3 linked regions of the Arabidopsis thaliana genome follow. The protein of the gene in region 1 interacts with the protein of each later gene in a pairwise test. Each region holds a gene or a part of one and is shown in the gene's direction. Other genes may lie near its edges. The genes, in order: AT5G52547, AT1G66820 and ATAUX2-11.

Region 1 (11,440 bases):
ACACTGAAGATTCAAGGGAGGAGAAAAGAAGAATTACTTTGGATTAACAAACTCTTTAATGGCCCCTCCAGTTTTTTGCAACTCGTCTTTGTAGGGACCAAGTTCCAGAATCAACTGCATTGAAAAATATTTAGAGTCTTGAAATTTTCCTGATCAGAGACAAATCTTGTCTCGTCGAGTAGAAGAACACTCACTTGATTAATATTTCCCGGGAATGGGGAGAAGCCCGTCTCACAATTAACATCCCCATCAGGGAATCCAGATGCTCTAAGTAGAGGATCAAGTTGATTGTACTCCACATTGATTACCATAGATCTCCCTGGAAACCATTTAAATCCATCCACTCGATTATCAAACGGAAAATATGAAAAGTGTCACTGAGCAAGTGTGGATTTCTACTATTCACTAAAGTTACCATCAACGTGAGTAAGTTTACTAATTCCTCCAATAGCTTCCTTCGCCTTGCGAGGAACAGCGAGAGAGTTAACATGATACTGTTTGGTAGCACTCACACCCAAAGAAGCTGGAATTGCCTGAACCAATGAAGTCATTAAAGAATTGTGAATTTCCATCAAAAATTGTATGAATACTTTAAGACACAAGAGTTGAGTCGCTGCTACTAACATTGAAGAGAAGTCCATTTGTATCTTGGAAAAACAAAACCCATTTTAAACCAGCCTCAAGCCTGAAATTGCAACAAAAAAAAAATTGTTATAGTCAACAGACTTATAAAACTAAAAGATATATATGATAGATGAACTACCATTTATGAAGAAGGCCACTGGAATAAAGAAGCGAATGTACATCACCATGTCCATGAGGTTTTGTCTATGAGTAGCAAAGAAAACGACAGGTCAGCCTGCAAATATTTGTACTAGCTTTGAAAACGTTAACATGAACACAAGTACCTGGATACTGTATTTGTTGTGAGGGTCTAATGCAAGTCTGGCATCGTTATCATCAAGACATGCAACTTTTTCCTAGAAAAAAGGTAGCCAATAGTGCATTATTTCTCAAAACATTTTACGTTTTCATAAAATCTGTCTAGGAAACTCAATAGATGATCCTTTACCTGTTTTAGAAGATGTACTTGAGTAGGTTTCATTCCAAAATAAGAGTTTAACTCTAACAGGTCCAGTGTACGTGAATGAGTATCATCAGATGTCATAATAATGAAAGGAATGTCTCTCTCACTTCCATCTGCAGAAATATACAATCACTGAGGAATGTGAAAAAGTACTTATTCACTTACGTTGATTTAAAAAATTAGAAACATACCAGAATCGATCTTGTTGCTAGCTTCTTGAAGAGCCAATATAGATTCAATGTAATGCTGCAAGAAGCATGTCCCTGTAGTTGTCTCCCTTGGAAGTGCCACCTAAGAAATAGATTCATAACTGGGTCAAATCTGTTTGTAGGTCTATCTATTCTATCTACGGGTAAGTGATTAAGTAAATGAAACATTGTTCACTATGTACCTTGATTCCATTGTAACCAAGACGCTCGCCAAGACCACCAGCAACCAGAACAAAAGCAGCATTCCTAGCTTCGACGACACCTCTTTTTTCCATTTCGATGAAGTTGTCAGTACCAAAAGTGAGATTTTCTCCTGAAGGGACCTGCAAGAACCACAAGAACCTTTTGTTAAAAACCAACAGAGACAACATAAAACAATGAACTTTTGAATTCATACCAACAAAAAAAGAAGATTTGATGATACTTACAGAAGGAGAGAAACCATCATATGGGTTTTTCCCTACTTTCGAATCAGCGAGAAGCTCTTTCGCAGTCTTAATGTATGCTGCTAAACCTCCAGGATAGCTTGAATTTAAGCGAGCAATCTAATAAACATTTTCATTCCAAAACGATGTCTTAAGTCCTGTTTCTACGTTCATTCATCAAAACACTGAGATGTAAGAAAAAAAACATAAAGAAAAAACCTGATCGAAAAAAGCTAGCTTCTCTTTATCATCAACACCGAGTTCAGGCCATTGTTGGAAGAGATGACTCTGACCATTTTCTAATAAGATCTTCGCCAGTTCGATCTGCCACGAAAACCAGATCACGAAATGGAAGACAATTATAAGAAAAGAATGGATCACTAGTCCAGACACAAACATATAACAGAGTGCAGAAGTATAGAAACCTGATCAGGAGACAAAAGTCCGAGGTTACTGTGAAGAGCTGGGACGGATGAGAAGAAATTGGAATCAACCGTAGAAGCCATGAAGAGGCTCTTAACAAAGGAATGATGGAAGAGAACACGAGCAAATTGCAAGCTGGTGGCGATGAGTTTCAAAAGGTATGATTCAAAAAAACAATATTTCAGAACATGGTATGAAACAGAACATGAGCAAGATTAAACTAAATTCGGTTAAGAAATCCAAAAAAAAATCTGAAACTTTCGTGGCGATCAAGGGAAACACGAACAAAGAGAATTTCGATTAATTCGGTTGTGTAATCCATAACCAAAATTCTCGGATGCAAAAATAACAAATCTCGCTTTTTGATATCCTCTCGCGGCGAGGTATGAGCATAATGCGACGAGAAGAGATGAAAATTGAGAAGATCGGTTTACCTGTAGCTTCTTCGACGACTGGGGAATTGTAGAGAAAAATTGATAGAAATGAGAGAGAAGAGGAAAAGACGGGTTTGTGTCGGTGAAAATTGAAGAAGACCGAACCAAAATTATGTGTTTTGTTTGCTTTGTTTATAAACAAAAAAAATCAATTCAGAATTTGAGATTTGGGAGATCGATCGAGACGACAGAGAGAGAGTTTGAGATAAAGCTGGAAAGTGAATCAACGAAAATGCGTTACGAAGATTCGTCTGGTGGAAACGAATCAAAATCTAACTAACTTTTTAAGCAATGTATTTACGAATAATAATCACAATTTTAATAATTTTCTGATAACACATGGCCCACCTAACATATTATTACCGTGGAGAAGATATATTAGAGAAGAGCGCTGCGGAACTGGAGCTCGATGAAAGCCCATCCACATTTTCTATCAAAATCTAAAAGATTTAGCCCAGAAAAGGCCCACGAGGTTTTCTATTTTTGACAGTTCATTCATACACTTGTTGCTTTCTCTAAGATCCAATCTCAGCCGTTCATTATCAAATATTAATGGCAATACTTGTCGAATCTAACGGCTGAAAAATATATGTGGATCCAATACATATATCATTGACTAATCAAGTTTTAGGTCCCTAAATCCCAATCGAAAACCTCCACTCAACACATCATCCACCACGTGTTACTTTCTAATTGGATTAAATATAACATAATTGCTCCGCTCCAGTGTCTCTTCTTTCTCAAAATCTTCTTTCTCAAAATCTTCTTTCTCTCGTCTCTGCGTTTATTCTCTCTGGATCGAAGTAGTAACTTTACGTCCGCGATTTGGTCTCTCTCTCTCTCTCTCTTTCTATCCGATAAATCTCAGGAGAAGTTAGTCGAGGTAGTCTGCTTCTATGCCATTTTGCCGAGGTTAGGATCCAATTCCTTTTCATAATTGCTTCGATTCAATCTTCTTCAATTTCCATAGATCAATCCAATTTGAGTCGATTTTGTAATACTTTATGATTGCCTTAGGTTTTGATCTCTGAATCGACCTACTCGTTTCGTGTTTGCTTTGATTTGATTTTGGTGTATGCATTAGTTTCTGAATGATAATTATAGGTTGATTCATCCGATCGCAGTTTGTCCCGGATTTAGTGTGCGCAGTATGAATTTCGTTAAATTTGGCTTATGATTTGTTTCAAATTGACTTTTTATGTCCATGTTTCGTGGATTACTTTGTGTAGTTTGTGGCTAGCTTTCCGAATTTGGGTTTCAATGTTGATCGAGAGTATGTACATTCAACTTTGGTTGATTTATCTTGGTTTGTTGACCAGTGTTAGTTCTTTTGAATCACTGTATCTTCTAGGTCCCTTGTGCAATTGTGTTTATAGGTTGGTAACCTGAGTGAGTAATTAAGTAATCAGCTGGGTAACATCTGGTTGTGAAAAAGCTTTCTTGTTTAATGTTTTTGCATATAGCCATATAGAAAATAGAACTGTGTGGTCGTGCAGCTTTCATTAGGTTAAGAAAGCAGATGGGTTGGTTTGGTTTGGTATATTATTTTTGAGATCCCTGTTAACGCAAGTCTAATCTAGTATTGTTTTCTTTTGTAGAAAATGGGAGAAGTTAAGGGATGTTGGAAATTAGGACGAATGCTTTCAAAGGATAACTCTGCAAACTCCTACAACGTCTCCCTTCTCTTATCTCCTGTTGTTTCTGTTTGGGATTGTATTGTCCGTAAAATGAGGTATACCTACATACCTGAGTGGGTGTAGTAGTCATTGAGATCATCGCGCCTTGGTGTAGTGAGTTTGGTAGAATCAAAGTAAAAGGAAACAACCAACTAAAAGAAGAAGCCAGTTAACAAAAGCAAGGCAAACAAAGACTTGTAGCAATCATGGATAGCAGTAGCTCGATGTGCAAACAAGCTCAGCCAATTGTTAGAAAAGCCAGGAAGAAAAAAGTAAAAGGTGTAGTGGACCCAATTAAACAAGCTGAGAAGAAAAATAGACGTCTTGAGAAAGCTATTGCTACTTCTGCAGCAATTCGGGCTGAGCTAGAGAAGAAGAAGCAAATGAAGAAGGAAGGACAGCTAGAGGCAGCAGATGAAGAAGATTCAGCAGATGCTGCAAAGAAGAAGCAGGAGAGAGACGAACTGGAGCGTATCAAACAAGCAGAGAATAAAAAGAATCGGCTGGAGAAATCCATCGCTACTTCTGCAGCCATCATGGCTGAGCTAGAGAAGAAGAAGCTTAGAAAACTTGAGGAACAAAAGAGATTGGCTGAGGAAGGTGCTGCCATTGCTGAGAAGAAAAAGAGACGTCTTGAGAAAGCTATTGCTACTACTGCAGCGATCCGCGCTGAGCTAGAGAAGAAGAAGCAAATGAAGAAGGAAGGACAGCTAGACGCAGCAGTTGAAGAAGATTCAGCATATGCTGCAAAGAAGAAGCAGGAGAGAGAGGAACTGGAGCGTATCAAACAAGCAGAGAGGAAAAAGAGACGTATTGAGAAATCCATCGCTACTTCTGCAGCCATCAGGGCTGAGCTAGAGAAGAAGAAGCTTAGAAAACTTGAGGAACAAAGGCGATTGGATGAGGAAGGTGCCGCCATAGCAGAGGCTGTTGCTCTGCACGTCTTACTTGGCGAAGATTGTGATGACTCATACCGAAACACGCTAAACCAAGAAACAGGTTTCAAGCCATGGGACTATACTACCAAAATCAATCTTTTTAGTGGTGGAATAAACAGATTCTTTCCTCACCAACGGTGCTCAAGCTACGCGGTTCATGATAACAACAGAACAAGAGACAGTAACTGGTCGTCAGTCTCATATGAGCCTTTCGCAAGGGGATGGGATAACAACAACAACAACATGGGAATATCAGCTGATTTGTTTGATACTCAAGCTGTGTCGTCACTACAGATCTCTGAGAATACTGACGTTGACGCAATTGTCTTCAATGGGATGTTCAGAAGATGACGACTGTATCATAATTCCCAAGCATTTGTAACTTATTAAAAGTTTGTGTGCTGTTTTTTATTTTACACAACCAAAACAACTTTTTCGTCTCTTACACTGTGCAAATCCTTCATCTCTCTTTAGCTTTTTAGTGAAGTGAGACTCATACGATCTGTGTTTTTGTTTCCTTTGTGGTTGTACTTAATTTAATCCTTCTCAATTCACTGGCATTTTCAATACTACTAGGCTACTAGCAATAGCTTCAAACTTCAAAGTAAAAATTCGGACGTTGCGAGAATCATTTAACTAAAATGAAACGACGTGGTCTCTGACTTGGTGAGTGACTAATTTTTGACGTTCCAATCACCGGTTCGGTTTTATGTTAAACCGGATAGACATTTACTAGTTACTAGTTAGTAGTTACAGCCATAAATTCTGATTCTGGTGCTCCTGCTTTTTTTTATTGAAGTCTGCGTGCTTTAGCTTTGTAAGTTGCTTTCCATTGATACTCTCTAAATCTTTACAACATTCTTCATCTGTTATTAGTTCCTAAGTATATGAACTCTCTGCTTCTTCTCTCCAGCGTTGTTCAGTTGTGTGTCGAGATGTGCTCGAAGTAGGTGACTAGGTTGACTAACTAGTGATTAGGGTTTTCTGTTCAATTTTGGCTTGTTTCTGGTGTTTTTCTTAATTGAGCTGTTTTGAACTATTGATTATTGTGAGTTCATCACACTTGGAACAGACAATAAATTTGACTACAGATCCTGTTCAATAGAGAGAGCTAACTGCAATTCTCGTGGAGAAGCCTCTGTTTTTTTAATAGTGATTAGGAAATATTGAGTTACTGTAGTATTGTTAGATTGGTTTATGCATTTCTTTTGTAGCTTTTGATGAACAATTGGTCATATGCCATTATTTTCGGTTTTATGGTCCTTATGTGATACATTACTATTAAGTGTTTATTTTGTACTCTTACTGAAATCTTGAGAGCTGTTATTTTCAGGTGGATGCAGAATTGCAGACTATACATTCTTTTTTAAGTTCTTGAGCTTGGAACAATACTTTTCTCACTCTAGTTGTTTCTGCAATCAAATGGTAACACCAATCTCTAATGCAATTTTTGTTCATGTCAGTTCAAACTCTTTCAAGTTGATTTTTGTCTAGCTTTTTCTATTGAGGATCAAACTTGTAAACACGCGATTGAAACCAACTGTAGAATGACAGATCTTGTTTGTTATTCTGTCTTTATGTTACTTTGTGTCATCTTCTAAATACTTTTACATATACCTTGCAGGATACTGGTGGGTTTGTAGATGAAGAAAGCGATGGATCTCAAGCTTCTGCACAGTCATCAAGCTCCCAGGCAGTTAGCCATTCAGATGAAGCAATGTCTCGTCCATCAGGTGTTAAGGCGGCAAAGGCCGCGAAAGCTAAAAGGACTCTGTCAGTGATTAAGAGCATGTGGGAGATTAAGCAGAAGGAATTTGAATTGAACGAGAAGCTTAGCAAGAAGACGTTGTTGGAGACTCTACTTCGAAAAACAGCGCCGCTTAGTGATCTTGAAATGGCTTTAAAGAACAAACTTATCACTGACATATTGTCAAATGCTTGAATGGTGTCTTTTATGTCTTGAAAGTTAGTCTTTTTTGTTTCGGTTAACGCTTCTTCACTTGTTTTTGTTCAGTTAGGTTATGAATCTTAAGTTGTTTGTGTTCTGTTCTAAATTGGTTTGGTTGTGCTCTGTTCTAATTGGTTTGTGTTAGTGTTCAAATGGATTGGTTTGTGTTCTGTTCTAAATGAATTTAAATTCGATTTCAGAGTTTAAAAGGATGAAGTCCATGTCGAGATGCAAGAGTTCAAGGAAGCATAAATAGCAAGTACATGCAAGTGTTGTTCTGTTTTGTGTAGAAGTATATAGGCTATGGTCGTGTGAAGATTCACTTGAGTTTGTGTGTCAAATTTTGTGAGTGTATCAAGTTTTGAGAGTGTAGAGTCTGTGTCAAGTTTTGAGAGTCAAATGTATCCCAAACACTTTCACATTTTTTTCAAATGTTTATATTTTCATAGAGGTTGTTAAAATTTAAAAGGTAAAAACCCTTCAGATGTATCCCAAACTTTTGATTTTGTATTATTTCAATTGGTAAATATGGAGATGCTTTTATTTGGTTAAAATGAAGCGACGTCGTTTAATAAAGTCAGCTGGCTTTATAACTTGATGAATGACAATTGACTAATTTTGTCCGAATCACCGGTTCGGTTTTCTCGTTTAACCGGATAGTCCTTTACTGGTTACAGCCATAAATTCCGATTCTGCTGCTCCTGCTTTTTTTTTTTTATTGAAGTCTGCGTCTGTGAGATCACGCTTTAGCTTTGTAAGTTGCTTTCCATGGATACTCTCTAAATCTTTACAACATTTTTCATCTGTTATTAGTTCCCAAGTTGCATATGAACTCTCTGCTTCTTCTCTCCATCGTTGTTCAGTTGTAATCGAAGTAGGTGCCTAGGTTGACTAGCTAGTAATTACCACCACTCAACGAAATCCATGAGGTTTTGGCGATGAATTTAGGGATTTCTGTCCAATTTTGAATTGTTTCTGGTGTTTCTCTTAATTGATTATTGTAAGATTAAGATTCATGTCGGGGAATAGTTACTCTAAGTTCATCAATCACACTTAGAACAGACAATAAATTTGACCACAGATCTTGTTCAATAGATAGAGAGCTTAAGGTTTATCTTCTTTTGTGCTTACTAAACAACTGCAATTCTCATGGAGAAGCCTCTGTTTTTTTTTATAGTGTTTAAGCAAATATAGAGAGTAGTAACTAACTGGAGTATTGTTAGATTGATTTATGCCTTTCTTTTGTGGCTTTTGATCAAAGATTGGTCATGTCTCGTGTGCCATTATTTTCGGTTTATGGTCCTTATGTGAAAGTGTTTATTTTAAATTCTTTCTCATCTAAAGTGTTGAAGAATAGTTTGATTGTTGTATTGGCCTTAAAGCATTTGTACTCTTACTGAATTCTTGAGAGCTGTTATTTTCAGGTGGATGCAGAATTGCAGACTATACATTCTTTTTTAAGTTCTTGAGCTTGGAACAATACCTTTTTCACTCTAGTTGTTTCTTCAACTAAATGGTAACTACAATCTCTAAAGAATTTCTTCAAGTTGAATTTTTGTCTAGCTTGTTCAAACTTGTAAACACGCGATTCAAAACTCATTTTACAATGACAGATCTTGTTTACTACTCTTTCTTTATACTAATTTGTGTCATCTTCTAAATATTTTTGTATATATACTTCAGGATACTGGTGGGTTTGTAGATGAAAAAGGTGAGAACAGATTATATGTTGGAAACCTGGATCTTAGAATAAACGAGTAAGTGAATCACAGCTTGTTATATTACCTCCACACCATAGATCAAAACTTTGCTCAATACCTTATAAGTTTCTCTTCGTCACAGGGCTTCGTTGATAAAAATGTTTTCTCCATATGGGAAGATCATATCAGAAGACTTCCTTTGGCACACACGCGGGCCAAAGAAAGGAGAACCTCGGGGTTATGCTTTCATTCAATACAGCCTTAAAGAGGTAACTAACAATCTGGCTCTCTTGGTTTTGCATTTGTACTTGGATGAAATTGTTTCAAGAAATGAAAAATGTTTTGATTTTGATTGAGCAATCTCCTGATTTCTACATCTAAAGTGAGCATACAGGAAGCTGAATTGGCGAAAGAGAAGATGCATGGGAGATTAGCTTGTGGTAGGCCTTTAGTGGTGCGTCTAGCTAGTGAGAAGCATCTAGAAGATTCCTCTCATGATCACTCCAAAAGATCATTACCAGAAGGAAACAGAACCAGATTTGTAAACGGGAGCAGCTCAGGACAAATGAGCCGAGACGAAAAAGTAACTGCCATTAAGAACAAACTCAAAGCTTTGGAAGAAGATGAGAAACGTGATCCCAAGAAACAGAAAATTTAAGAAAACGGTTTTCAAACACACAACTTTGGGTCTATGTGACTCTGTGACTCTGACCATTTTTCAGTTTTGGTTTGATTTGATTTGGTTTACCGGTTTAATCGAAACCAATTTTGATTTAATATTTCGGTTTGGCTCAGTGTTATATATAAAATTTGTAATGGAAAGCAAAAGTTGACGCACTAATAGGCACACTGAGTCAATTCCACTAATCACTTCCCTTTTCCACCTTTTCCTCGTCGTGAAGCAGACGCGACAAATGGCGACGAGCTTGCCATTACTCAATGTGATCGGAAACTCGTTACCGTCGTCGTCGAGACTATTTCGTCGGCGTTCGTACATTGTTTCACGCCAAGATCTACCTGAATTCTCAGCTAAATCAACCTCTTCAAGGCTTAGCTTCTCTCCTGCTTCGTTGTCGCAATTTCGTAACGGAACCGACAGGTTTCTGTCGCCGGAATCATCATCTCCGATCCGATCGGTTACTGTGAGTTCGTTGAGTACGCCTCTCATTTCTCCCAACGATGAATGGGGAACTTGGACTGCTCTCTTCGCTACTGGTGCTCTCGGTCTCTGGTACGATCATCACTCTTTATAGAACTTCGATCGTTACTTTATCTGATCGGAGATTTGAATTTTACGTTGTGTTGATTCTTAAGTGAAGTTGATTTTGTGTGATACCAATTGTGAAGTTTGAAATCGGAAATGGTGTGGGATTGATTGTATAGGTCGGAGAAGACAAAGGTCGGAGCCGCTATGAGTGGTGCGTTAGTCAGCACTCTAGTTGGTCTTGCAGCTAGTAATCTAGGGATCATTTCTTCTCAAGCTCCTGCTTTTGCTGTTGTGTTGAATTTTCTGCTTCCATTAGCTGTTCCTCTGTTGTTGTTTAGAGCTGATTTGCGTCGTGTGGTTCAGTCCACTGGAAAGCTTCTCTTGGCCTTTTTGATTGGATCAGGTATAAGGATCATAACATTCACACTATTCCTATGGTTATGCTCTTGATATTTCTGACTTTGAATTATCAGAAAAACCTGAGCCTTTGCTATTTCATAACAGTTGCCACAACGGTGGGTACAGCTCTGGCATACTATTTAGTGCCAATGAAGTCACTTGGCCCTGATAGTTGGAAGATTGCAGCTGCTCTCATGGGAAGACATATCGGTGGAGGTAACAAAAAATTCATGTCTTTGAACATCTGCATCTGTATCTTCCATTTTCTTGACGCGCCAATATTGTTCACTTATTTCTATAGTGGTGTATAAGTTGCATTGTGATTATTTTTTTTCCAGCCGTCAACTACGTAGCTATATCAAATGCTCTTGGAGTTACACCATCGGTTTTAGCTGCTGGACTGGCTGCTGATAATGTTATATGCGCTGTATATTTCACGACATTGTTTGCTTTGGGCTCCAAAATACCTGCAGAAGCTGTACCGCCACCGACTACTAGTAAGTCTGAATGTTGCTGTGATGTCTGGTTTCGTTTGATTTGGCTTCCTTTGGAATTGATCATTGAGGTTGTGTAAATATTCAGTTAGAAAGTCATTTCTATTGGATTAGATATCCAGAGGAAAATGTTCTGTTCCATTCCTTTTTCATGTCGATTCTAGCCAGTTTCTGAACTCTGACTTAGGTATTACTCTCCTATGGCAGTTGTAGATGCAGAGACGAACGAAGCTTCTGAAACTAAAAATAAAATTCCTGTGCTACTGATAGCTACTGGAATTGCTGTGTCATTAGCTATCTGCAAGGCTGGGGCTTTGCTAACAAAGTACTTCGGAATTTCGGGTGGTAGCTTACCGGCTATAACAGCGGTTGTTGTTATTTTAGCAACTGTCTTTCCGTCCCAGTTTGGTCGTCTTGCTCCATCTGGAGAAGCCATGGCTCTAATTTTGATGCAGGTATGAGACAAGAAATTCAAGAACGATGCAACCTTCTTGATATTA
Region 2 (6,216 bases), on another chromosome or scaffold:
TGATTATAATCTTCTTTTATCAATACTACCCAAAGACTGTTTAAATCTGAGAGAGTGGTAAAATTTAATCTTTCTCTAAAGAAACACTCTTTCTAAAACGAAAATGGTCAAATTGCATGTATTTGACCTTCCAGAACCTAGATTTCAAGGCACAACAGTTTACTTTAGCTTATCAAACAAGCATACTGATATCGAAAACAGTCTAATATAGTAAAAAGCAATATAACATATACTGGTAACGTTACCAGTTAATACCACTGTTAGTACCAAATTTAACCAATAGACAAAGAATCCTCCATATGAAAGGCAAATCTAACCCAACTCGATCTTCCTACTCTTAAAGATTCACAATGTATCTTCCAGCTGGTAAGTAGCCCAATGACATTCTACAAACTTCATCGACCTTGTAAGTTGAAACCATTTTAGCAAAACAAGTAGTTTTAGATCAACTAATACATACAGTCATACAATACAGATCCTATGACTTAGACCAAGTTTTCTTTAGCGGACGGCAGGAACAAACTAGTTACAACTTCTAGTCACAAAATCGTCAGGAAACAGTTTTCTGCAGAGAAAATTGCTGTTCTCTTGCCAACCATAAACAGAACAACTTGAGACATAATACATCATCCGACACAATCACTGCATTCTTCTCCAAATGGTAAGACCAGCAAAACACACAGTTCGACATAAACTAACACATGCCCATCCTAAGATCTTAGTCTATGTTTATCAGCAAAACAGAAACTTGAAAGCCAGTAAGCAGAGATTACACATAAATACACAAACCAAGATAACCAACAAACCAAATCAATCTTTTCCCATGAATGTATTACCACCACTGCAGCAATTAGAAAGAGAAAAACTATAGCAGCACAACAGTTTAGGGAAGAAAGTTGCATACTTATGAACAAAGTAGAAAACTTTATCAATATAAATTTCATATCTTTGTTGAATCTAACATCCTTTTCAAGTCTCTCCTGCTTAATCCAAGAGAATACAAACAACATATCAAAAGAATTAACATCTCGAAGTATAAAAGAGAACCACACATTTCTTCAATTCTCCTTTCTTATCCATCCCTAATTATATTCCTATAATCCTATCAAACATTTACTTAACATCTTTCCCTTCCTTATTCCTATTGCAAGCAAATATGTTTCTTCCCAATTCATTACCCAGAAAAGTTACGATATTTATAAGGTATCAAATCTGAAATCTGTACACAACCACTAATTATTACCCTTTTTCAATGACCTTTCTTCTTCTCCAGATCAGCGAGTAAGCATCATCATCATCATCCTCTCTTGATCAGTAAGTGAGTGACGGAAATGGCAACGGTGACCGTACGGACACATAGCTCCGGTGACCATCATTCTGCAAACCTCAGTTTTGTAGCGTGGATGCCTAATCACAGGACGTAGCTCGTCGATTCCGTGAGCGAATTGGCAATTATCGCCGTAACAACAAGCTCCAGTCTCTTGCCATTTGTTACAAAGCTCCGTCTTCATCATCCCTTGACGATATACCTCAAGCTCTAATGCTTCTCTCTCCCCTTTTGTTTGTACTACACACACCTTTTGAGAAGAAGACACCTTCACAAAACATTTATGACGTCATTAATCAAATAAAAACAAATTTTAAATTTTAAAATTACAGTGAGAATTACCGAGTTAGAGCTGAGTTGACTCGTTTGGAGATCTGACGCTTCAAATCCATGGTTGATCTTGAGATATCCTTGAGATCTGACGGAGATGCTCTTAGGCAACGAGTTTCTCTCTTGATTGTTTCTCTTCGCGGAGCGAGAATCGGAGATCTGGTGACGGAATTGACGGTTATGGATCGGCGCCGGAGGAGAGACGGAGGAGGAGGATGAAGTAGAGATACGAATAAGTTTGAGTAGATCTGAGTTTTCAAAGCGGAGAGAATCGTTTTCGTGACGAAGAGAGTCAAGTTCCGTCATTAGAGATTGAAGACGGTTAAGGCAAAGCTCGTAATGCTCGTTGAGTTCGTCGTACTCGAGGATAAGTTTCGCTTGAAGAAGACGATGCTCTGTAGTTGTATCGACGCGAGATGGTGGTGAGGAAGAGGACGGAGGAGAAGGAGAGAGAGATTCCGGTGAGAAGATTGAGTTGTAGAGTGATGCGAAGCTTGCGGCGAACTCTTCTTGGTGTTTGTTGTTGAAGCTTTGTTCAGAGATCGGTGATAGTGGAGGCGGCGATGAGTTTATCGCCGTTACGCAAGCTAGATCTGTAACAGTAGACGCCGCGAGTTTCTCCATTGTTGCAATTTCTCGAAAGCTTCCTGAAGAAGATAACACAGAAATTGACAAAATTGAATCCGTTTAGATCTACAAAATCACAATCGGAAACTGAAACTTCCCAGAGAAGATAATAAGAGCGAGAGAGTACCTGAATTAGCTTTGAAACTTCTCAGAGAAGCGAAAGAGAAAGAGCGGTGAAATTAAGATATGAACGATGCTCTGTATATATATATATATATAGAGAGAACCAGAGAGGTGAGGAGGAAGAAGAAAGAGAGAAAGATAATATGCGGGAGAGACTACGAGAAGATTGTTACGCTACTTAATCTAGACCATACGATGAGATTATTTAAGGATCTGTTTGAGAAGCGAGTGTATTTAATTGGATAACGAATTGCTTCTTCATGGTTAAGTGAAGTGTAGAGGAATATTTCTCACCTACTTTCACTTTCGCGCCAACTTCAGAACCGTTAAAGATTTCTATGTAACAGAATATTATTTGTTTTTTAGATAACTTCAACAACAAAACTAGTGTTTAGTTTTACACATACAGTGAGAACAAAATTTAATATTCTATTTATATTGCTGTATAGTTTCTTAAGCTTAAGATTATAGTGACAATATTCACCATAAAAAATGTTAAATCCATTTGGTAGATCATATTTAGTCAATAACATGCATCTTCCATCCCAAAGGAGGTTTACTAGTTCGAGTATTTAATAGCTTAAAACATTAATAATATATTCATTAAGCAAGTATATAAATATGAACCTCAAGCAAAAATCTATTTTGAAAAAAAAAATAGATGGAAACAAAAAGTTTGTTAGGAGGGGAGGTTTTGTTTGTAACTTGGAGAATAAGGAAGTATGTATTGGTGTGTTTGAAGAAACAAAAATAAAGAAGAATAGGTCATTTTATTAAGTTTGGTTGGGCCAATCATGAATAAGAATAGTTAATGAATTGATGATTAAATTGGTTTTTTGATATATGCATGTATGTTTAGTTTCATGTTGTTAACGACCGTAGTAAGGTAAGGAATATATGTGAGTTTTGTTTGCTTAAAGAGCACAACTTTAACTAACTATGGTCCCTCTTTCTTTCCTATGTGTAATATACTTCAATCAAAATCTTTCGTTGTAGCTAACTAACTAGAAAATGTTTCCTTCCTTCTAACCCAACAACCCTGCCCAAATTACCTTCTTACCCTTTCTACGACATTTTAAAAACAAAATATCATATAACTTAATCCAAATCTGTATTTAACATTTTCTTGAAGAATTTGTATCTCATGTGTATCTTTTATCATTAAAAAAAACTGATAAATAGGAGAGAATCTGTAGAGACTTAAATGGGTTAAAGCCCAATATATGCGACAATAAGCCCAATAAATACCTCAACGCATATTCATCTTTTTTCTCAAATCTTATCTGATTTTCTCATCACTCATAAATTCACAATTCAGTGATCGTCATTTGCCCAATCACAAAACCAATGGGATCAACTAATAAACTCTGGAGCCGTAAACCAGACGTCAAAACCGGGAAATCAGAATTTCCGGTTACCAGATTCCTCCGTACACAAATCGATAACATCAAGACAACAACCGTCGGTCCCGGAATCGGCGGCGGCATTGGCTGCGGCGCTGGAATCGGCATTGGTCTCTCCGGCGGGCTCGGAATAGGTGCCTCTGAAGGACTTGACCATTCTAACGTGGTTCTTGGATTCGGTATTGGTTGTGGTATCGGGTTCGGGTTTGGATACGGATTTGGAGTTGGCGGCGGGTACAGTTTCGATGACATCAAAGAGAGATTTGACCTATGAAAAAAAGCTCCGGTTCATAATTCCGGGTCGGGTTTGGGTAAAAGATTTTTAAAGCATTATGTTAATTTTGTACTGTATTAACAGTTTTGTTAATTATATAAGTTCAATAAAAATATCCTCCCTTGTGTCCTTTTATTTTTCATAATAATATCACAATTATGAATGATTAACAGAAAAACCATAAAAATTATCACATGAAATTTATGAAGTAATCTGAAAATTATGAAGTAAACACATAATCTAATTAAAATTATTACTTTTCATTAATTAATAATAATTAAATAGAAGTTACCAATTTCTCGAAGCTCTCCAATACACTTCTCATGTGTGGTCTTTTATCTGGGTTCTTCTGCACACAAGCTAAACCGATCTTGATGACTTGAACCATACTATCTTCCAAATCTCTATCACGAGCTAAAACCGGATCAAGAACATACCAAGCCGGTTTATTTCTCTCACTAGCCGATTCAACCCACATAACCAAATCCATTTCTGAACTAACCGGAGATTTTCCGGTTACCATTTCGAGTATCACTAAACCGAATGAATACACATCCCATTTCTGAGACGGTTTAGTCATTTTTGAAGCTGCTTCAGGAGCTTGGTAATATGATTCTCTAGAGAGGATTGGTGAGCTTGTCTCCATGGGAGAGATTTGGTCTGATCTGATATCTGAAGACGTGTCGACGATACGACCTAGACCGAAACCGGATACTTTCGGTTCAAGATTCGGTCCTAGAAGTATGTTGCTTGTGTTTATATGTCCATGGACATACCTTTTGGGACTAAACTCATGAATATAAGTTAATCCTTTTGCTATTCCTCTCAATATTTTTAACCGGACCGTCCAGGTTAGTTGCTTGCATGACACGCTACCAGGTCTACCTGTCATAAATTTTTATGAATCAGTCTTGAATCTTAACTATGGTCATAGATTTATGCGATTTTGACACTAAAATTACCTTGAATTGCAGAACCAAGGTCACCATTTGGTATGTAATCATAAATCAGGAGTTTCTCTTCAGGAGACCAGCAACAAGCCTTGAGATTCAAGACATTAGGGTGCTTGATTTTCGCCATTGCTTCGACATCAGCTAGAAACTCTTTGAGCCGTAGCCAACCTTTATCTTCTAATCGTCTAACGGCTAACATTAATCCATTTTCAAGAACTACCTTGTACACAAGCCCGATCCTGCTCTTCCCTAGAAGAAAAGCCGAGGCTTTTAGAAGCTGGTCGAGGTCAAATTCGATTTCCGGGTCCATTGGCATGAAAACTTGTTGATTTTTGTTCTCATCTAGCGTTTCAGATTCTGAATTCCCAGTCTTGAAACAGAGAAACTCTGGCTTTGTCGTCTTCTTCAGTTTCTCGTTTATATGACATGTTCGGTTGTTTTGATCTTTGTTTGCACGAGCCGATGCTTTTCGGAGATAGTAGATGAATAATGAAGCAAGAAAAATGATTCCGGCGACTGTGCCTCCAGTGGCTGTAAGGATGATGCAGAGTCTAGAATGATGGTTGGCTCTTCTTGTATATAGTTGAGAAGGAACTACTTGTGTGTTTCTTGTGCTGCAAGAAATCTTTATCGGTAATCCACAGAGGAAAGGGTTCCCTTGGAAAGCATTTGGACCGGCATTCAACAGAACGTTGAATTTTGGTATCGGACCACTGAGATTATTGTAAGAAAGATCGACATAGAGAAGCTCAGGGAGATTTCCAAGACTTGTTGGAATCATACCTGAGAAGAAGTTATGAGAAAGATCAAGTGTACCTTTCAGATTCTCCAGACTTCCTACATCTTCGGGGATCGTTCCAGTCAAGCGATTGAAAGAAAGATTCAGTGTCCGAAGATGAACCAAGTTAGAACCTAACCCTGTTGGAAGATCTCCAGAGAAACTGTTCTTGCTAAGAACAAGCGTTTTCAGCTTCTTGCATGGAATAAGCGACAAAGAAATCGAACCGTTGAAAGAATTCTCCGAAAGATCCAGAGTCATTAGACTCTTCAAGCTACCAATCTCTTCTGGGACAAACCCGGAAAAAGAATTTCCAGAAAGCACCAAGCTTTGAAGCCCTTTAAGTCCAAAGAGTTCCACAGGTAACTTCCCTTGAAAGTCATTGTCTCTTAGGTTAATGT
Region 3 (10,944 bases), 3.8 Mb from region 1:
AGGTTAGTCTCTCTTCAATCGAAAAGCTTTACCAGCTCCGATCTTTGTGTTCTTCTCCCAAATTTCTCTGGAATCGAATGATTTGAGTGTTAATTGGAAGAATCAAATGTGAATCTCTGATTTAACAGGACCCAAGGATCTTCCGATTATTGCTAGAGCAGGAGGAAGATTATTCGGACGAGCCATTGGTTACATCAATATGGCTCGTGGTCACTTGGATGGTGTCATGAAACAACCTCAGATGCAAGAGGTTTGATTGTTTCTTCATCAACATTGTTTTATCTCAACATCATTGTTGTAGTGAATTCGAATGACATATTCCTTGAAGTCTTGTTGCCTTACATTACTCTCGTACTTGGTTTAGATATCGAAAGAAGTTCAAGATTTACGAGCACAAGTAGATGCGATTAGCCATGGAGCAAGATTTTCTCTATTTGATTCTAGTCCTTTGACTCGAAGAGTGGATAACCAAAAAACTCAAGAACCTAGTCCAAGCACCACCAATGGTATAGAAAACACTCAATAGTCATTACTCTTTCTTGCATGTTGTTGTTCATGATCTGGTTTTGTTGTATTTTAGGGATTGTTACATCCGTTAATGTTGAAGAAAAACAGAAGCCTGTAGATCATTATACAAAGGTCTTTTTGATGTTATGATCCTTCTTGATCCATTTTTTATTTATTGAATTGTGAAATTCACACTTTTGTATTTTTATGTTCATATAAGGCTCAAGAATTTAGTGGCTCGTCGTCAGCTTCTGTTAACCTGCACGCTCAAGCAACATCATTTGCACGATTATCTGAGACAGTCAATGGAAAAACTCACAGTCTAAACAGTGATTCACCTGTTCTTCCAGTATCAGCTGAGATGGCAAAGTTGCTTCCTCAACGCAAAGGTAGAATCTTTTATAGCTTGAGTTTAGAAACCGAAGTTGCTCACTTTATTCCCATATGTTTGGTTGCAGAGAGTGCAAGAGGATCTGATTTAATGTTAGAGGCGGTTCTTGAAGCGGAAGTAGCACACAAGGCGAAAAGCTTTTTCGCACAAGCCGAGAAAGAAACTCCAGCTTTGAAAGGTGAGACAAAACAACCTCTTTAGTCTATCTGTTGTACAGTTAAGATCAAAGCAAAAAAACTCAAAACTCGTATTGATTAAACTCTTTTCTTTATTCTTGTGAGTGTTGCAGGGAAGTTTTTCAGTGACAGGAAAGGAGAAAATTGAACTCAAAAGTTTTGGGGACCATCATCGATCACAAGACACCGGCAAGGTACAAAAGAGTAGGCCTTGTTATTTAACTGTTTTTTTTTTTATGTTCGATGAGCCAAGAATCTGAGGGACCTTTGTTTCTGATGCGGCAACAAGTGAGCTAAACTTGGAGCGAAGTCAGTTCACTCTTTCATCTTGTAATTAATGCTTCCGCTTTATAGGTTTAGGTTTTGTTGTTTACTTCGGAGGTTTAGTGTGAGTTGGATTTGCATAGAGTTGGTTGGGTTTTTTTAAAGAGTAGAGATCTATTAAATTTTATAAAATTTTGTGTATTTTTACAAGTGTAGTTATAAAAATCCAATGGACATCCATGGTTTTCTCAAAGTTTTCCTTTATAAAAGAAAATTAAGGTTATGATTAAGTTGTATCAAGACTATATAAGGGTCTCTATTGATTCATAACCACTAAGAGAGAGTTGGGTTAAAGGGAAGCTTTTGCTTAATTAACAAAGGTCTATAACATCCCAACATTATTATTTATAGAAGTTTTACTGTATATACAGTATTAGGGTAGCTGTTGTATAGCTTATAATATTCAATATTGTTACTACTTTGGAAGTAAATATTCATCAGATTCGTCCAACAAGAAACTTGACTAATATGTACCTACCAGAAATTAAATAATAATGTTTGCATTTTAAAATAAAACATGTTGTAGTAGCACAAATTAACAAATAAATTGGCTTAAAACGCACTATGCAATGAAGAGACGACAACCACAACACATATTTAACATCAAGATATTCTCTCAACCACCACTAATTGTTACTATTTTAAAGCTAAAATATTCATCCAACAAGAAACTTGAGTTACTCATATAGGTGATGTTTGCATATTGAAACAACACATTTGTGTACAACATATTAAGAAAGAAATGGCTGGAAAAAGTGATCTTCCTGTGATCGCGAGAGACGACAACCTAAGTGAAGAAACAAAAACTCTGATCTCTTCACTTCCTACATACCAAGATTCTCATGTGAAGCTCTGCAAGTACCAAGGATGTTGGTATTACCACAACACTCTCCAAGCAGTCATCAACTACCAAAGAAACTTCCAGCCGCAAGACACCGACATTATTCTCGCGTCTTTCCCCAAATCCGGTACAACTTGGCTCAAGGCACTCTCAGTCGCAATCGTGGAGAGATCTAAACAGCCTTTTGATGATGATCCCCTCACACATCCTTTGCTATCCGATAATCCTCATGGCATAGTACCGTTCTTTGAGTTCGATATGTATCTCAAAACCTCAACACCGGACTTAACCAAGTTCTCAACATCATCCCCGAGGCTGTTTTCGACTCACATGCCTTTACACACCTTCAAAGAGGGCCTCAAGGGTTCTCCATGCAAGGTTGTGTATATGTGCAGGAACATAAAGGATGTTTTGATATCGGATTGGCATTTCAGGTCCAAGTATAGCAACAATGAAGTATCTAGAAGCACTCTTGAGTCAATGTTCGAGTCATTCTGTGGCGGAGTTAGCTTCTATGGTCCGTTTTGGGACCATGCTCTAAGCTATTGGAGAGGCAGCTTGGAAAACCCCAAGCATGTCCTTTTCATGAGGTACGAGGAAATGAAAACAGAGCCGTGTGTCCAGGTCAAGAGGCTTGCCGAGTTTTTGGGGTTTCCTTTCACTAAGGAAGAAGAAGATAGTGGTTCGATTAGCAAACTCTTGGAACTATGCTCTCTTGGTAATCTGAGCGGTTTGGAGGTTAACAAAACCGGAAAAACATGGATGAACTATGACTACAAAAGCTATTTCCGCAAAGGAGAAGTTGGTGACTGGAAGAATCATCTAACTCCCGAAATGGAGAACAAAATCGACATGATCATCGAGGAGAAATTAAAAGGTTCGGACTTGAAGTTCTAGATTCGTGTTCTTTGTGGTTTGTAGCTTTTCACATATGCATTATAATAAAACTACCTTCTGTTTCTTATGTTCCTTTGATTTATGAGTATTGACTGTCTTTCAATAAAATAATGCATAGTGATTGGCCCAAAAATCAAAAGTGTGAATTTGACACAACTCCATGTATATTCATAATACAACTATTTCAAGATATGATGATTGCCCGAGTAAATACCGATACACCTAACCGTAAAGGCACAATAAAATGTGTGGTATAATAGATTATTACTACTAACAAAAAAGTTATAGTATAACTTTATTATTTTAACAGCTCATTTATTTTACATAATTCGTTTTTTGTTTATTCATTTTTTTATGATTATAAGTAACAAAAATATGCACTAAATGAATGTTTAAATTTATTTTAACATAAAATAAATAGTGTTGCTTATATGGATGCTTAGATGGACACCCTAAATGGAGAGAGGACTCTCCTATTATATATATACAGGTTAAACATTATGCAATGAAACCAAAGTTTTTCATTTCAAATCGAACCCAAAGTCTTGCCACAATTCAAATAAAAACTACAATATAGAATATGGATTGATGATTGTTATTTGCTTCCATATTTCAAAACTATATGATCTATCTCTTGTAACTCTTAAACTGTTTGTTTTCTAGTTTGCACTCTAGAATTGGTCTTATATTGTTAGTTTGTTACCGACTTTTTGTAGAATATCAGTTATACTAGTCTCATGTATATTTACAAAATTTTGTAATAAATTCATATAATTTTACTTAGTCAATAACTGGACTTTTTCCTTGTAATTTGATAAGTATTTATTTGGCTGGTAACAAAAACAAAATAATTAGTAATTTACAGTAGATCCCTTTATATAACTATTGTATCTAGAAATAGTTGTACTTCTACGTATTGGGGAGTACCCCGAGTTTTGTGTAACAACTTCCGCTATATATTGTAAAGTAAAAAAATACCAATGAAGTTTGCTTTCCTTATCTGCCTAATTGTTACATCAGGTAAAATTTATATTTCACGTGTGAAGCAAATAACAAAAATCTATATACAAAATTTGTTATTTATAGTTTCTGATTTTGTAGTGATGAGTATCGTTACTGTTCGAAATGTTGAGGCGAAAAGGTTATTACTTGAAGAAATTCCTCAGTTGCATCATGAAGGTTCGCCGCAGGTAGTGAAATTACTGGATGATGACTGCATGGATGGATGTCATATGAAATGTATTCCTAACAACAGAATTACTCCTTGTTTATGTCTATGTTAATTTTCCGTTTTCTTTTTTGAATAAGATATGTTTTCACTAATAATAAAACTTTGTTGCATAGTCCATACAAAAAATATTGAACATTATGTAAAAAAATTCAAAAAAGATAGTTAAGAACAAATTCAACATGGAAGAGGTGATGCCTAATTTTTCATCAAACCAGCCACCATTAGAATAATCACTAGGATGATATAAAAGCATATATATTGCCCACCAACTATAACTTATGAAGCTGTATATGTATGATCATGTGTGTAGCTGTTTTATATCATTTATTGGATCCAACGGTGGATCAATCCAACATAGAGTCCAAAAGAACCGGAACCGGAGAGAATGCCATGAACCGGTTTGTTGTTAGATACGTCTCATTTTCAGTATTTGATTTCTAGCTAAATAAGCTAGTCATGAACTTAAATCTCTAACGCCAACCATGCAATGAAACCAACTTTTCACATTTCAAATCGAACCCAAAGTCTTGTCGTCTACCGTGTAACAATAAATACCAAACTCACTACCTTTAAAATTCTCCTTTTTGAGACCAATTCGGATAAAACCAACAATCTCCTAAATGTTCACTTCCCAAATGTCGTAATCCATAAATCATACTCAAGAAGAAGGATTTAGACTATTAGGAGGTCATGTGCCAAAAATAACATAATACTAATGATAAATTAATCACAAATATTTAAGCACCATTTAGAATCATCAATCACAGTGGATTAGTGTTGGATTTGATTCTATTGAAATCCATGACTGAATAATACCCCTTAATGTGTAACGATTCAAAACTTTTTCTACAGAAAAAAAAAATTTGAAATCGAGACTAAACAAACTTAGGATAAAAAAATAGTCTTGAACATAGGTTTTCAAATTTGGTCCTCCAAAGAGATTAGGTTAGGTTTGGTTTACATTGGTTCACTAAAGCATGACAAGTACATAAACTGCCTTGCTGTAGTAACATGAAAACAAAGTCAGAGAGAAATCAAAACCCAAAACGATAAGACCCCATAGATAATGAACTGTCTAAAGACAAAACCTTTTGGCAAGATTTCTTGTCAGTTTGTTCCTGGATTCATATATATAAAGATCATTAGAAGTTTCATAGAGACAGAGAGACAAATTAAGTTGGGACTTTCATGAAAACTAGTAAAGAAAAACAAATAGTATAATTTTAACTCAAATACTATTTGTTTTTCTTTACTAATACTCTCGAAAGTCCCAACTCAAATACTAGTTGGACACACATGAAGCTACCAATCAGACCCAATGAAACTCAAAATCTTATCCTCCAAACACAGAAAAAAAGACTATGAATATGTTTGACTTTAGACAGCTAGAGTTTCAACTCAATTGACTAGGATGATCTAATCCTGATATCACATGAACCACAAATAGATGAAAGAGTAAGTTCTTGGCTTTAAGAGAGAGAGAGAGAGGTGACAAATGCATATGGCAGACCACAGTACATGTAATGCTTACCCTACAATAACTCAATGCTTGAACAAAAGAGAAAGGTTTTTTATATTCTGCACATGAGTGTACCATACTCTACCCCACTTCCTTGAATTAGGGCTACAGAGAAATGAATCTAGACCGTCCTCTAAAATCAAAGAAAGTATCTTTCTTTGTGTTGAAGATGAAAGTGTCCCACAAATGTCCCCAAAATGATGGGACACACTTTGCCTCAAAGTTGCTGCTACTGTTTACTACCCGACAGCTTTAGCTTTTGCCTTTGTCCTTAAATCAAGTTAATCCCATTTTTTCTAAATTACCAAAAAAGTGACTTTTCAATTCCTATAAAACAATCTTCTTCACAAAGCCTCTTATCTCATCAACAAGTCTTTCTCTCTCTCTAGACAACCACAAGAACACAAAACACACAAAAACAAAGAGGTTCTTTCTTTGAAGAAGAAATGGAAAAAGTTGATGTTTATGATGAGCTTGTTAACCTAAAGGCAACAGAGCTGAGATTGGGATTACCAGGGACAGAAGAAACTGTTTCTTGTGGAAAAAGCAACAAAAGAGTTTTACCTGAAGCTACTGAGAAAGAGATTGAATCCACTGGAAAAACTGAAACCGCTTCTCCTCCAAAGTAAGTGTTTGAATCAAATACAACTTCTCTGAAAATGTGTGTTGAGTTGTGAATCTGATCTAATCTAATCTATGCTATTTCTTGTTTTATAGGGCTCAGATTGTTGGATGGCCACCAGTTAGATCTTACAGAAAGAACAATGTTCAGACAAAGAAGAGTGAATCTGAAGGTCAAGGAAACTATGTGAAAGTAAGTATGGATGGTGCTCCATATCTAAGGAAGATAGATCTAACGATGTATAAACAATATCCAGAGTTGATGAAATCACTTGAAAACATGTTTAAATTCTCTGTGGGAGAATATTTTGAGAGAGAAGGATATAAAGGCTCAGACTTTGTACCTACTTATGAAGACAAAGATGGTGATTGGATGCTTGTTGGTGATGTTCCTTGGGAGTAAGTACAAATTTTCATTTATCTCTCAAATTAGTTAACTTATGACACAATCTTGTTTATGTATTTATGGTGTTTTGTTGTTATTGCAGGATGTTTGTTTCGTCTTGTAAGAGGCTAAGGATCATGAAAGGATCTGAAGTTAAAGGTTTAGGTTGTGGTGGTCTTTAACAAACCTAATTGAGAGATAAAGATCAAAGAGAAAGATTCAAAAACAGAGTTTTTTGTTCTGTTTCTTGAAACAGAGTAAATATAGCTCTGAAACTGCTCGGGTTCTTGGGGAGAGATGTTTCATACAATCATACTTTGTGAATGTTTACCTCATCGGTAAAAAGAGAGATGCTTAAAATGGTCTTAAGCATAAAAGTGTGAGAAAGATCTAAATCTAAACTTTAGCTGTAACTCTGTCTCCATTAAAGAGAAAGGTTTTGTGGTATTAGAAAGATCTAATCTGAAGATTATCTTTGTGTTTTTCACTTTTTATAATGTTCTTATCGAACAACTTTGATGTTTTTGATGTAATTACCCATTTTTCTGTTCTGTTTCTCTTCAAATTAAGATCTGTCTTTACAAAACTGTAACACAGAACATTAAACCTAACTTGTAGATGAACACAACGAAGACAAATCATTAAACCAAAGCTGCTTTATGGTAAAAATAATAATCCCAGCTTCTAAACATATATCATTGGATTCTAGTTTCTTTAAACTTAGATTATACATGTTTAGTCACCAAGATTAAAGAAATAAGAAATCTAATCGAGCAGTGAGAATATTTTTGGGGCTTTGGAAATGTTTATATTATCTTTTGTTGTTACCAACTGTGACTTTGGTCCCCCATACCTTAAACAAGTAAATCTACCCAACTGTGCTAATTTGTCTCCACTATCACTTATAATAATCTATGAACCTTGGAACTAGAGTAATATTTTAAAATGGTATAGATAGGTTCATTGAATTTAGGTTTTTCCTTTGTGCACCAACAATTTTTACATTCATACCTAATGTTCTTGATGCAAGATGATTATTAAGTCAAGAATTTTACCAAATACTTAAACCTAGTTGTCTCGATGATGATGATGATGATTATGATGAGACAACAATCGATCAACAAAAGAAGGATTCAAGATTCTTGATGAGATTGGAAAACTGAATCTATATTTCTAACAAAAGTTTTTGTAATCTTCTTCTGTGGAACATATATATAAATGAGAGATTTAAGAAGAGTATGATCTTTGATCATCAGTTTCTGACTCTAACAAGGTTAGCTCTTGACCTGTTTGGTCGTTGCTACTACCACCAGAGATTGTCATTATTGGTTCAGACTGAGAAGTAAATCCTTCTTCTTCCTGTGGTCTCTTCTCCACTGTTTGATCCGAGATTAACACAATTGAACTGCTTGTAACTACCGGTTTAGGTTGATTAACATCTTCACGATCTGTCTTCTCCGGTAGAACATACGAAAAACCATATTTCTGAGCATGTGTTAGTCCTGGACATAAACCCTACAAAAACCCCAAAACAAAAGAAACTGACTTTGATGAAAGAAAGAAATATTTTTATTTCTGGTACTGGCCTTTATCAAACCGGTAACTGGAAAAGATTCGTGGTAAGGAATCCGAAAGAAAGAAAGAAACATTTTTATTTCTGGTACTGACCTTTATCAAACCGGTAACTGGAAAAGATTCGTGGTAAGGAATCCGAAAGAAAGAAAGAAACATTTTTATTTCTGGTACTGACCTTTATCAAACCGGTAACTGGAAAAGATTCGTGGTAAGGATAATCGTTACTGTGATCATCGTTACTACTGTCTTCTCCAAGGACTTCTTGTTCTAGTTTTGTGGAATTGCTTGGACAGTATCCACCAAAGTAAGAGCAATGTTCCCGAGCTAGAGATATTTGTGGTGTTATTGGTAAGAGATGACCCTCAGTACTGAAGATGTACCTGAAGATTAAGTAAAATTATCAAGATTAGTGAATTGTTGTGGTGTTTGTGAAAATCAAGAGGTTAATGTGGAGGAGATATTTATACTTGTAAGGGCCATTGTCTACGAGGTTATCCGAGTCAACAGCTAAGTCAAAGAGTAGCCATAAGTACTTCACCTGAAATATTTTTGAAACAAAAACAAGTCAAGGCTTTAAGGTAAGCAAGTAAATGCATATTGAGAAACAGAGCTTTTCATGTATTTTACCGTTTCTGCGAGGAAGAAGCTCTCCATGTGATCTTCTTGTTTATGCAGTTCTACATCTGTGATGTGACAATAACCGCAAGGACATTTTGCCCCGTATTGCAAACTAGCCACAAAGTCACGTCCTGCATCAAGATACCTGTCGACGAGTAATTTGCATTGTGCAATTCAGTAGTGTGATCATCTTTGGATGAAGAATTGAAAAAAATATAACTAATTAATTTGGTGACCTGGGATCTCTGGTAGCTTTGTACAACCAGTATGTACTCTCGATTAATTCCGGCCTTAAGGGATAACTCTTTTGCCCATACTGTAAGGAAAATGAAGAATAGATATGAAGCTGTAACATCATAGTGCCATCAGACGTAATAAGTGACAAGTGATCACAGAGACACTTAAAATTAAGATAGAGTACCTGGACACTAAGTGTAGCAAGATTAAAACCCTCAGGGGTGAAACCATATCGTTTCCAGACGCTAAAGAAGGCAGTGTGAGTTCTTATTGCTGGATCAACGTCTCCAGCTAAAACCTTTTGAGAGAGAAACATAGATACAAAATCATAGTTAAATTTTCCAGCCTGAAATATATTAACAATTTGGTCAAACGTAGAATCACTATTTACCTGAAGTCCTGGCCAGAAAGCTTGAAGGCTGTTAAATACTGGCCAGACAATAGCTGCGGAATCCATATTGACTTCTACATACCTACGACAAAACTAGAAAAAACAGTAAGTCCAAACAAAGGAATTGTTTGTTCTTGTTTCTCTATCATACAAGATACAGAAAGCTTACCAAGGATCCTTGTGAAGGTACTGCATTGCAGATCTATAAGCTTCTTGAAAAATGTATAGATATTCCTCATCCCCAAATAGTATATAAGCCTGAAATTGTCAAATCAAACAAAAGTAAAGCGAGGAGTCTAGGACTATATCAATGCCGCTCAAGTTTTATGCAAAGTTGAAGAAGAACAGAAACTATTTTTTTCTGGATTTCTAGGACTTGGCCATTATATCCAAATAATTCAAATATCTTGTCAAGGGCTACGTTTACTAACCTTGAGTAGATACTCATAGAAGGAATCAATGCTTGTTCCTATACCAGCATCCTGCCAAGTAAACACTACCATTTTAGAATTTGGGTGACAAAAAAAGACTAATTAGTTTGTTGAAGCAAAGTTCATCAAACCGTAGTTCTTCTGACATATACAGAAGCCATTTTTTGTTACCTTCTGTGTCCATTCACCTGTAAAGACATTGATGTGAGCACCAACCAAGTCGAGATTTGAACGACGTGCCCATAGTCCCCTCACCGCATTCTTTGCAACTTGTTCGAAAACTTCAAATTTAACAAAGTTGGCCCATGTAAGAGCACGTAAGAAACACAACAAACTATGAAAATCAAAATTACATCTCTTGGAAATCCCAACGAAAATGATAGAAGAGTAAAGAGAGCTAAAGAGAAGTATTTCTCAAGGACTAACAGATTTATGATATATCTCAGTGACTAAACTGGTTTACTCACCAGGATCATTTGTTAAACGACTAAGCACGCCAAACTCTAAAGACAAAGTACCACCACCGGCAGTTGATGTTATCTGAACAAACAAACAAAGATGCATGAATAAATGAGTTTCCAATATAGGAATCAAAAGATAAGATCAGCAAGCAGAAAATGAGCAGTTTAATCTCAACTCTCTTTAACTCGTTGAGACCTAGCAAAGATAGGAAAACCAAGCATTTCGGTATCATTTATATTAATATGCACTCCAGTCACGGCACCAATAGCACAGATGAACAAATTAAATAAGTAAGAATAAGATGTGAAAGCTATGAGAAGGTAAAAGAAGATGGTTTG

What was found.
Region 2: the proteins of AT5G52547 (region 1) and AT1G66820 interact in a two-hybrid assay, tested with the Arabidopsis thaliana proteins (one large-scale study listed by BioGRID).
Region 3: the proteins of AT5G52547 (region 1) and ATAUX2-11 interact in a two-hybrid assay, tested with the Arabidopsis thaliana proteins (one large-scale study listed by BioGRID).

What each region holds. Positions count from the first base shown.
Region 1 is NC_003076.8:21,322,017-21,333,456, reverse strand, and holds AT5G52547 (uncharacterized protein), read left to right. Parts: upstream 1-5,958; 5' UTR 5,959-6,009; intron 6,010-6,019; exon of another isoform or gene 6,020-6,150; intron 6,151-6,406; exon of another isoform or gene 6,407-6,525; 5' UTR 6,526-6,614; coding exon 6,615-6,617; intron 6,618-6,816; coding exon 6,817-7,134; 3' UTR 7,135-7,594; downstream 7,595-11,440. Other genes in the region: USP (UDP-sugar pyrophosphorylase), read right to left, coding at 38-114, 195-319, 416-533, 625-685, 764-828, 909-980, 1,073-1,200, 1,279-1,378 and 4 more; AT5G52550 (stress response NST1-like protein), read left to right, coding at 4,461-5,543; AT5G52545 (RNA-binding protein-like RNA recognition motif protein), read left to right, coding at 8,654-8,656, 8,824-8,897, 8,983-9,109, 9,235-9,498; AT5G52540 (keratin-associated protein, putative (DUF819)), read left to right, coding at 9,755-10,071, 10,224-10,450, 10,552-10,662, 10,785-10,943, 11,148-11,395.
Region 2 is NC_003070.9:24,926,339-24,932,554, forward strand, and holds AT1G66820 (glycine-rich protein), read left to right. Parts: upstream 1-3,548; 5' UTR 3,549-3,754; coding exon 3,755-4,084; 3' UTR 4,085-4,289; downstream 4,290-6,216. Other genes in the region: AT1G66810 (Zinc finger C-x8-C-x5-C-x3-H type family protein), read right to left, coding at 1,275-1,595, 1,670-2,281; AT1G66830 (Leucine-rich repeat protein kinase family protein), read right to left, coding at 4,362-4,969, 5,047-6,216.
Region 3 is NC_003076.8:17,544,133-17,555,076, forward strand, and holds ATAUX2-11 (AUX/IAA transcriptional regulator family protein), read left to right. Parts: upstream 1-6,046; 5' UTR 6,047-6,332; coding exon 6,333-6,511; intron 6,512-6,603; coding exon 6,604-6,906; intron 6,907-6,995; coding exon 6,996-7,074; 3' UTR 7,075-7,583; downstream 7,584-10,944. Other genes in the region: AT5G43680 (uncharacterized protein), read left to right, coding at 1-2, 129-250, 365-506, 581-639, 728-896, 966-1,076, 1,188-1,222; AT5G43690 (P-loop containing nucleoside triphosphate hydrolases superfamily protein), read left to right, coding at 2,141-3,136; AT5G43695 (uncharacterized protein), read left to right, coding at 4,117-4,156, 4,238-4,419; AT5G43710 (Glycosyl hydrolase family 47 protein), read right to left, coding at 8,120-8,407, 8,643-8,847, 8,935-9,005, 9,095-9,230, 9,322-9,401, 9,507-9,620, 9,714-9,795, 9,883-9,971 and 3 more. UniProt on the Arabidopsis thaliana protein: Aux/IAA proteins are short-lived transcriptional factors that function as repressors of early auxin response genes at low auxin concentrations.